2 linked regions of the Drosophila melanogaster genome follow. The protein of the gene in region 1 interacts with the protein of each later gene in a pairwise test. Each region holds a gene or a part of one and is shown on either strand. Other genes may lie near its edges.

Evidence for each region. The genes of interacting proteins can lie anywhere in the genome.
Region 2: the proteins of P58IPK (region 1) and CG5080 interact in a two-hybrid assay, tested with the Drosophila melanogaster proteins (one large-scale study listed by BioGRID).

Annotation. Positions count from the first base shown.
Region 1 is NT_033777.3:9,585,110-9,590,114, reverse strand, and holds P58IPK (P58IPK), read right to left. Parts: upstream 3,174-5,005; 5' UTR 2,753-3,173; coding exon 2,656-2,752; intron 2,593-2,655; coding exon 2,479-2,592; intron 2,119-2,478; coding exon 833-2,118; 3' UTR 534-832; downstream 1-533. Other genes in the region: bocks (bocksbeutel), read left to right, coding at 1-385; CG8301 (uncharacterized protein), read right to left, coding at 4,074-4,159, 4,217-4,366, 4,429-4,899.
Region 2 is NT_033779.5:1,159,749-1,165,455, forward strand, and holds CG5080 (uncharacterized protein), read right to left. Parts: upstream 4,139-5,707; 5' UTR 3,341-4,138; coding exon 3,252-3,340; intron 2,399-3,251; coding exon 2,179-2,398; intron 2,122-2,178; coding exon 1,542-2,121; intron 1,472-1,541; coding exon 696-1,471; 3' UTR 542-695; downstream 1-541. Other genes in the region: Tango14 (transport and golgi organization 14), read left to right, coding at 8-352; IntS14 (integrator 14), read left to right, coding at 4,792-5,332, 5,391-5,707.

The sequences.
Region 1 (5,005 bases):
CATTCGCCAGCGACAGAGTGTTCCAGTTAGTGGATCCAATCTGGCCCGTGGTCGCCTGCTCCAGCCGACCACCGCAGTAAACACTCTATATCCACAACTAAATGAATTCTACGATCAGCCGAATGACGCAGGCGAACCCATGGAGACGGAGAGCGAGTCCGAAGTCGAGGAAGTACCCATCAATAGCCATTTCCAAAAGAATCGCTTCTCGCCGCTGGCTAGAAAACCTCTGGTAAGACACCACGATCAGGTTTCGCCTATGGCGCAGTTCCGTGCACTGGCGGTGTCATTGGATCAAAAATATAATCTCAAATTCTACTTAATATTGGTAGTGTCAGTGATGCTGGCCACCATGGTGTACGTGGTATTGACACCCAACGCCTGAGAAGCGTTCATATCGCGGAATACATTTGGTTTTGGTTACTCCACGCATTTCAACCACAGACTACAGCGAAGGAATATTTATGACGACTTTGCACCTTAAGACTACTACTTCAATTCCAAACATGTTCAAAACTAACAAATATTCAACTCAATTTGCCAAGTCTTTAATTGCTTGTTCTCGCATATTGTTTCTTTTTATACATAATTAGAAAAATGTACTACATTATAATTATTGTATTGTATTAAATAAACTAATTAAATGTAAGTGCTCAGTGTGTTTTGTTGCGATTTGTGTTTGTTTGTGGTACTCTCTGACAACGGACCATGGGTTTATTTATGCTTTATGCTACTATTTACACGCCATTTAAATGAACAAAACAGTGTAAAATCGTTAAAGGATATCGGGGATCGCGGCTAGGACATCACAAAGCAAATGGCTGCTGGCTGACTAATTGAAGTGGAACTTGAACTGGAACGGCGACCCGTGTTGGAAGTGTCCAAACGGATGTTCGCCATGGAAGCCGCCACGCTGATTGCTCTCAGGATCTAATGGATCCTCGCCGTTGTCGAATTGACGACGCTTCTCGGGATCCGTGAGAACCTCCTTGGCTGCGGCAATGTCAATAAACTTTTTCTCGGCCACCTTCTTTTCCTCGTCGCGGAAGTTGTCCGGATGCCACTTTTGCGCCGCCTTCCTGTAGGCCTTCACAATCTCCTGTTTGCTGGCGCTACGCTTAACGCCTAATATCTTATAGTAATCCCTGCGCTCTGACTGCTTCTGCAGCTTCTTTGCCCTCTGGATGCCTTCTTTAGCGCGGGTGTTGCTCTCTTCCAGGTCGAGAGCTGCTTGGAAGGAGTGTATGGCATCGTCGTACATTTCGGTGCCCAGCAATGCGTCAGCACGATCACAGTAGACCTGAGCATCCTTCATAATATCCAGTGCCTCCTTGCACTGTTGCAAAGCCTTGCCAAACTGCTCGTCGCCCGTGTAGCAAGTGCAGAGCACCTTGTGTCCCTCATACCGGATCATCGTCTCCTCCGGCTCGTTACGCAGGACTGCCTCTCCGGCGGCTATGCACTCGGCAAAATGCTTCTCCTCACGCGCTTGCTCTGCGTTAACCAGCTGCTTTTCCACCTTTCGTAGTTTCTTGTAGAAGGGGAAGCAGAGCTTGTGTTCCGGGTCGAACTTCAGGCACTCGCGGATCTCTTTTAAGGCATTTGTGGCGTGGCCAATTGTGTACAGCAGCTGTGCAATCTTGTAGTGACCCTCAGTGCTGTCCTGGGTGAGTCGGTTCACCTGTCGCAAGTCAGCAATGGCTAACAGTGGATCATTGATTGCAATGTAGGCATCAGAGCGAGCCTGCCGGAAGGGCACAGCCCACGGCGAGATCTCTAGCAACTGTGTGATCATGGGGATGGCGTTTTGGTGATCACTGTATTGGATCAGCTGCTGTACAAGGACCCACTGCTCCTGGGCGGGTGCCAAGCGGGAATAGTGCTCCAGCACCAAGCCGTTGTTGGGTTCCTCTTGAAGGACTTGATCAAAGTCCTGGATCGCTTGCTCGTACTCTCCGCTCTTCATGTGCACAACACCCCGCTGGATTCGGGCGGCCATAAAGTCTGGCTTCAGTTCCAGCACCCTGCTGAAATCCTGGACGGCAAAGCGCGTCTTGCCCAGCGCCAAATAGACGGTGCCGCGCTTGAAAAGCGTCAGATAGTTGTTGGCATCGCCCTCTGTGAAAATGATAATGGTTAAATCAATGACGAGGGCATAGAAAGGCTAAAAAATATCCTAGCACAAATGAATGTAGTCCTAAACAAAAGTTTACCAAATTAATGTTATCATCAAATTCAAGACAAAAGATACAAGTTTGTTTATTGACCTTGGCATTTGCAAAACATGGTTATGTTTTAAACCATACGATTCTATGATTTGTTAATCAAAAATAATTAAAATCTTTATAAAATATTTAGATTCGTTGCCAATGGACACTTTTGAACGCGATGTTATGTAAATTCACGTGAATTAAAGAATATAAATGTATTGTCATAGATATTCCGATTCTTTCGTGTGTACAAGCCAGTTATATTTACCAACAGCTGCATGGTAGTGCGTCAGTGCATCCGACAGCTGTCCGCGGGCGAGGAACTCCTTGCCCAGCTCCAGATGGTTCTCAATATCCGCTGGACTGGCCGTCGACTCGGCGCCTGAGCGAGAAACAATGACGTGTATTTCAGATGCCTTCGAAGATAAGGATTTGAAGTACGTACCTTCCAGGAAGAGCTCCAGCAGGAGCAGCACCAGGCAGGCAGCCAATTTCTTCTCGCCGCCGCCGATCATGAGCAGGTCACTCAATGGCAAGGCCATGACGATGGCTACGTGTACTTAGATGCCCCCGCAAAAAACCAGTGTGGGCGTGATTTGGAGTTGATTCCCAATCGACACGCACGTCGAATCTGCTTGGCGTGGCAGCTTCTAATCTCTACGGTCGCACCGCTTCCCCTCCTGCACATCAACTTTCACTGGCGGCTTTATTTTCAGCTCGCTGTTATGGATTTTGCGTCCGTTTTTGGTAAACTTGCGGCGCCGTCTGCGATGATTATTCGGTAATTTCTGACTTGGTCAGCTGATTGTTTTGACTGTCTGTGTGTTATGGAGTTTAGATGGTACTCCCCATGGGCATTGCAGCCACTTCTAGTTCGGAATCGCGACCGCTGTGCACTGAACTTTTCGCTTATAAATATTATAAACTAAAAACTGACGTGTTCACGTTCTCTAGGGATGGGCGAATTTTGGCCGCAGGTGATACAAGTCACTGGTTCTTCACGCAGTCACGAGTCGCAACTATCGGATGTGGGCGACGGCAGTGCTGGCAGCTTTTGGCTGTTGTCTAGCTACAACTGATCAAAAGAAATTTCATAATAAATGAAGTAAATTATTTAGATCGCACTACACAAGTCATTAAAGTAGAACTAGCTTTTTGACGCTATTTTAAAGCTAGTTCTGCAATCATTGCAAAAAGCTGTCTAAACCAATCGATTTCTGCCGCCCAACTAAAAAAGTAACGGCAATTCAAACTTTGGTCACATGAATGTTTATTCGGAACATGAATTTGGTAAATATATCTGCAACTACACATAATAAAATCCATAGTATATTGATATTTTAAATATTCTTATACATTTTCGGTAATTATTGTAAATACTTATCGGTTTCATCTGGAAATAAATGCATTTCTTGAGCATTAAAAGTTCGCCGCGAAGCTTAGATTGCTCGTATAACATCTTGTATGTTCTCATTGCTTATTTCTTATCGCTAAGTGGTCAAATGGATATATGTATGTATGTGCTGGTAGTGTTTAAAGGCGTTCTGTGAGATTAATATGGCTCAGAGTTAGAAAGAGATATGCGGCTGGAGTGCCTTAGGGACCGATCGAAGAAATGGACAGAGATATAGCTATATGGTTTATGCCCTACGGAATATCCACTAAATAAAGCTCTAAGCACTTTCACGTTCCAGAGATCGCTGCGTGTGTGCATATGGTCTAGTAAGTGTAATTGGATGGAGGGTACATGTATGTATATGGTCTATGTAAGCTTGAGTTTCGGGAGCTACGCTCCAATGCATTGCAGTTTCTGCACTGTGCTTGGCTACAACAGAAATCTATGCTGTTTGCTGTTCCACTTGGTTAGGAAATCACAATGTTGATCAGATCGTCCAGAGGCTGGTCCGCCGAGTGCGGCTGAGAGGCGGCGTGTGCCTTTTGCATGTGAGCTGGAAGTGATGTTCATCTATATGGAAGGGCATCATTGAGTGATTTCGCATACATACTCTTGAGCTTAATGTGCGTGACAAATCTTTCCTGACAGAGATCGCATTTGTAGTAGGTTTTGCCCGTGTGAGTTCGCTGATGCAGCCGCAATGACTTCTCAAACAGATAGGCTCGACCGCAAACGTTGCACTTGAAGTTCTTCTCCAAGACTGTAAAAGATTGATGTATTACATGTTTCTAATAATACATATGTACATGTGGACATCCTTACCCTCGTGACTCAAGCGATGCTGGGTGAGCACATACTTGAGGGCGAATGCCTTGCCGCAAACATCGCACACATTGGGCTTCTCCTTCTCGTGGGTCTTGATGTGCCACTTCATGTCCTGGGCGCGCTTGAACCGCTTGGAACAGTGCGGGCAGGCGTGCGGTCGATCCTTCTCGGAATGCACGGCAGCGTGCCGCTCCAGAGCGGACTTCATGTTGAACCTCTGGCTGCAGCTGCCGCACTGAAAGAGTCCGGAGTACTGGCGTTCCCGCTTCTGTTGCAGCACCCGTTTGTTGTTCGCTATGATGGGAGCGCCAGGACGCTGCAAGTGCTCCGCGGACATGTGGTGGATCAAATCCGGTTCGCTGGAGAAGGGCTGGCGGCACAGCATGCACTCACTCCGCTCGATGGCAGTCAGGTTCTCCCTGTGCCGCTCCAGCATGTGAATCCTTTTCTCCGCATAGGATGCAAAGACTGTTGGGATTGGACAAAAATGGGTTTAGCATCCATTGGCACATAGATAACGGATGGCTAGTCGTAGAGGGTGTCATGAAGTAGAAAACTCGGAAAAATGTATCGT
Region 2 (5,707 bases), on another chromosome or scaffold:
CTTTCAGCTCCATCAAATCAGCGCCTCCGACGGCCATGCCCTGATCGCCGACGTCTGCCGCGAGTTGTACGAAGACAGTAAGACGGAGTTGGTGCAGAGCCTACTTAAGCAGAAGCGCGAAGCGCTGACGGAGCAGATCAGCGACATGCTGAGCAAGCGACTCGGGTTCGAGGCCCCGGAGCCGGAGCTGGGCATCGTGTTCGCCCGGCAGACGTGCACCTACGGCCTGCTTCCCTGGCACGCGCGCTTCACCGAGTTCCACACGCATCCCAGCGGACGCCACTTCGACGTGGAGACGTTCGCCAGCATCCTGTGCAAGTACTCGCGGTGCGAGCAGCGGTGGGGCACGTAGGCACATCGTTCGCGTGGGTAGCGACACCCTTATATTAACTAGTTACCTTAACATTATGTAAATTATCGCCAGGAATTCCTTTTAGTTCGTAAGAGTAAACTGCAAAAGTGTATTGTTCACATGAAAGTGTCTTTTGCTGGAGAGGATCGCGCGTTTCTAATGGCGGTGCAACGCAGCAGCTCGTATCTTGTACATAATATTCGATCTTTATTGAGTGACGTTTTGCTGTGCTTAAGCTTAAGGCGCAACTAGATGAGTATATGTAAGTGGGCAGACTTAAGCGCTATGGTTAAAAGTATTGTATTGCTTTTCGTTCAAGTGTCATCTCCGGCGCTCAGCCGCTCTACTCCCGACCGGGCTCAGCGTGGCGCTTGGACAGGAGATTGACGTCGGTCAGATACGTGTTCTTGTCGATGTTGTGCGGACCGGGACCCGTGGGCATCCGCTCGTGGAGGCCGTGGAAGGAGTTGCGCAGATCCTCGAGGGAGTCGGCCAGGCCCTTCTTGATGCTGGCGAACTCGGTGGACATGAGCGACAGCTTGCCCAGCAGATAGTTGAGGTTCTCGTCCATGTCGATCATGTGTTTCTTGGTCTCCTCCACGCGGCTGCCGAGACCCATCATGGTGATGAGAGTGCTGTTGTTGTAGCCATCGGAAGCGGACTGGATATCTCCGAGCATCAGCCGGCTCTGGCTGATCTCGCCGGCCATGATCTCGATGCGGTGCCACACCTGGTTCAGCTCCGTTTCCAGCAGTCCGCTGATGTTCTTGTTCGCCTCCTGCTGGATGCTCACCACCGCTCCGTCCAGCGACGAGAAGCGCTCCTTCAGCAGTCCGCTCAGCGTGGCCATTTCCTCCGCCAGCAGCTTGCCAACCCGCTGCACCACGTTCAGTGTGCCGAAGTCCACCTTGCGCTGCGTGTCCAGCACGACCTCCGAGTTGGTCATCATGATGTTGTTGAACTTACCGAGCGCTTCGAGTCCCTCGTTCAGCTTGGCATTGCTCTCGTTAGTCGAGGCGAAGTGCTTGTTGAGAATGCCCACGTCCGCGGACAGCTGGCGAACGTCCGCCTGGATGTTGGCCTCCGCCTGCTGCAGTCGCTCCGTGGCCTCCGTCGCAGCTGTATGCATAATAGGGAATGAGGAAGTGAATGTGGATTGACCCCCAATTGCGATGAGTTCTACACTCACCTGACTTCTGTTCCACCGAGGACTCGCTCTTCAGCTGCGCCAGCGCATTCAGGGTATCGTTGTTCAGTTCCTGGATGTAGGCGCGATCCGTCTCGCTCAGGCCAACCGGAGCAGCTGGTCGCTGCACAGTCTCGCTTAGAGAGCTCACCTGGCCGCCCAGCGAGGTGAGACGCTCCAGGAGTTGGGCCTCGAACTCAGCGTTCTTCGGTGGAGCGGCGGTGGTCACGCTGGCCGCGTGCTCTTGCAGCTTGGCTTCGATCTGGGACAGCAGCTCCGGTGCCTTGGGCAGACCCTCGAGGCGCTTCTGGGTCTGATCGGACGCCTTCTGGCTGCTCTCCTTGAGGGCGGCCACGCTGGCCGACAACTTCTGGATCTCCTCGAGCAGCTTGGCGTTGAGGCGCTTCTGATCCTCCAGGAACTCCTTGGGAATGGCGGGTGGGGCGGCCGCGGCTGGGGGAGCGATCATGTTGGCGCTGACCGGCGGCCTCTTGAAGCACTCGTCGTTCTCCCGCATCCACTTGAACATGTGCTCCGTTGCCTGGTTGAAGCGGTCCGACTGCGAGTTGTACTTCTCCTCTTGCTGAGGATCGGATAAGTTTGGATGATAACATCTACTACCCCTTTATGGCTGACTTACCGTGATCAGCATGGTCTCTATCTGGCTGACCCGCTCGTCCAGGCGCCCGAAGATCCCATTGATGGGCTCCAGGCTCTTCTGGCCCTTCTGGAGCGACTGCAGCGCCTTCTTGAGCAGCTCGCCCAACGCACGCTCGCGATGCTCGTGCCGCTCCAGCTTATTGTCCAGCTGATTGTAGGAGTAGATCAGCGACTGGATAGTTCCGCGCAGCTCCTCGTTGCTGGAAAGGGTAGGGGGTTAGGGTTAGTGGCTTAAAATTAGCCTCGCTGCGGACCATTAATCATCGGAGTGGGGGAGGGCAGATGGCAGCGGGACCACCACCATGATGGCGCGTCTATAAATATTAAGGGCTGGGATCTCAGGGTCAGGAGCCCTCCACTCCGCACGCTGTTTGTGTGAACTGCATTGATGGCGATGGATGTGGCATGGCTATGTGTGGCTGTGGAGGGGAAACACGGAACACATGCCCATTTGCATGGGCGAGCAGTGGGAGCTCTGGGAGCACTCCCCCATTCCCAGCCAGAGTCCCAAAATAAACAAACAAATAGGCGCAGCGCCAACATCTTGGCTCCCTTTGAAGGCACCACTCACTACTGGGGAGTGGCTGTGCATGGGCTGCATCCATACTCCATACTCCATACTGCACGTCCCACAACCATGATGCACATATGCGACGGCCCCAGGCGCCGACAAATGCACTTAGTTTGAAGTCTGGGCACAGTGGAGGGCATTATGAGCGGGAACCAGAACCACTCCGCGATGTGTGACATGTGTCAAGACCATAAAACCGGAGGGCTGCAGTTGTGGTTCCTCGAATCCACATCGGCCCCTCCAAGAGATTCAAACGAAGAACTTGAAGTGGCAGCGGATCAATTGGGTCTAGAAACTGAAGATCTGAGTGATTTTACGACGCTAATGGAAGTTTCCGATGGAGTTGGGCAATCAATAATGTGTATGGAGAACCAGGAGTGTTGGTATTTAGTGGTTTAAGCGAAGGGTTCCACAATGTCATTGGACCAAAGATCTATGTACTTATTCAAGCTTTTCCCCGAAAATGAATGAAATCTACTCACGAGACCAATCCAGCGGCGATGGGTTGCCATTGGGCGAGCGCAACTAGGACCAGGAGAACTAATTGGAGAGGGCGACTTCCTCCGGCCATCGTGGGTTTGGTGCGTCGATGCGATCTTAAATTGGTAAGCGAGTCCACTGCGTGGGGTGACCTGTGGAAAAAGAAATCCAAATCGAAATCGAACGGAAACGGGGAATTGAGGATGGGTAGCGATGGCGCCTCCGTTCGCCGCCAGTGGATGCGGATACTTCCTCTGGAGCTGCGTCGGCGAATGTTTATCGCTAGCGACAATGGGGTAAACAAATGTAGGCTTATTTATGTGCAATATTTGCGGCGGTGCAGGCGAGCAATAAAGAAATGTCAGTGGAACAAAGCGGATTGGTTCCTTGTCCGGATGGACCTCGCTAAAAATACATACATATGTGGATGCGATATTGTTCTTGTGGCGATAAACAAATGACGCGAATTATCCGCTGGACACTGCATGTGCCAGATTCATTCTCCTCCGCGGGAAGATATGGAGGAAGTGATGCATTCGGGAAATTGGGTCAGAAATAAGCGAGTGAAATTCGCGAGGGCGAATCGAAATTACAATAAGACCAGTTGCCATCGCAATTTCCCCGGAGATTTCTGCTGTAGGTTGGACATATTCGCGGCGATAAGGATTGGGTTAGAGGTTGACGAATTGAGAGGGGTGTACGAAAAGTTTTGGCCTCGTTCACTAATCGCACATTGCACCAGGTAGATAGGGAAAAACTCACCCTTGGGGGAAATTGAATGGCTCAAGTTCGAAGAGTAGCCTCTGTTTTGCACACACACTTGGATCACTTGGCTCGAAAACTTGGAGCTGGACGTCCTAACAGCTCGAGTTGCGAACGAGGAATGATGCTGGACCAGCCGACTTTTCCGTACCAGCTGTGGATCCGTGCTGCTCCCCGATAGTGGATCCTCTCTCTCCGCTCTCAGCCGCTCATGCGTTCAGTAATTAAAATGGGAGATGTTTAGTGGGGATGAGTTCCCGCATGGAGGCAAGTCGGGGTGCCGACGAATCAAAATTCAATTTATTCTAATACAAAATCATCGAGCGCAATGCAGACAAATGATTTGGGCGGCGAAATCCAAGCCAATTAAAAGCTGGCATCCCAAATCGTTTGGGTTGAGTTATTTATTTACATTTATTTGTTCCAATATAATCGAATTCTGCTGGAGGCGATTCCGGGAAATTGGATTCGAAAATGGGTAAATAAGTTTATTAGGCATATTTCGTTTACTTGTGGAGAAGGCAGTTATGTAAGCTCACTCAATAAGTAATAACCATTAGGATTGTATTTTATCAAGATTGTAAATTCAGCACTTTATGTATTTGAATTTCTATTTGGCGCCAAGCTATGGACAAAAATCATTCACTTGGAACTAGAAACCGTTATTCGCTGCGCTGCGAATGGCACTTCAGCTGGAGCAGAAGAAGAAGAAGATGCATAAATAACAAAAATTGGAGAAAACATAAATAAAGCGCTGAATAAATTTAATTAAGCTACGAAATGCCCACCTTAATAGCGCTGGATGCATCGCTATCGATGCTGCGCCCGGTGCCGGGAAGAAATGAGCACACCTACCAGTCGCTGGCCACCAAGGGCATCCAGCATCTGCTGGACAATCTCACGGCGGCCGGCAAATTGGAGCACGTTGCTCTGCTCTCCTATTCGACGACGGCGGAACTGAAGGTGGACTTCACGCGGGACTACGACCAGGTGCGGCAGGCGGTCAAGAAGGTGGAGCCCGTGGACAAGGCCTGCCTGATGAGCATGCTCAAGGCGGTGGTGTCCATAATGTCGCCGTGGGGCAACCAGAACATCCTGCAGGTGGTTGTCTTTACGGACTGCGGCCTCGGCTTTGGCAACACCTCGATCACGGGCTTCCTGGAGGCCTACGCCGAAAAGGAGTCGGAGCCGGAGTTCGGCTTCCTGAAGACTCTGGCCAACTACAACCTGAATTTCATCTGCCTGGGCCTGCACGGCGATTACTACTTCACCAGGGGATTGGCGGTGTACCAGCAGCTGCTGGACAAGGTCTCACTGAAGGGTGAGCTGCACTCTATTCAAAGATATTCATGTAACTAATGGTGTACCTACGTTTCCAGGCCAGCTCTTCATGACAAAGCCCGCCAAGAGCAGCGATGCAGTCGAGGGAAATCCCAATCCCAACCCGAACCCCAGCCACAAAAGCGAACTGGGCCGCACTACGGTCTTCGAACTAATTGAACGTCTCTGCGAGGCCAGCTACAAGAGTTCGGAGGTGACCCTGAAATGCGGCAGCTACTTCCGCATGGAGGCATCTGTTCTGCTCTGGCCACCGACGGCTCCGTATGAGCAAAAGTCCCACATATTCGGCCGAGAACCCACCATTCGCCACACAGACCAGAAGATTGAGGTGTGTGGCTTCCTGTCCCTTTCGGAC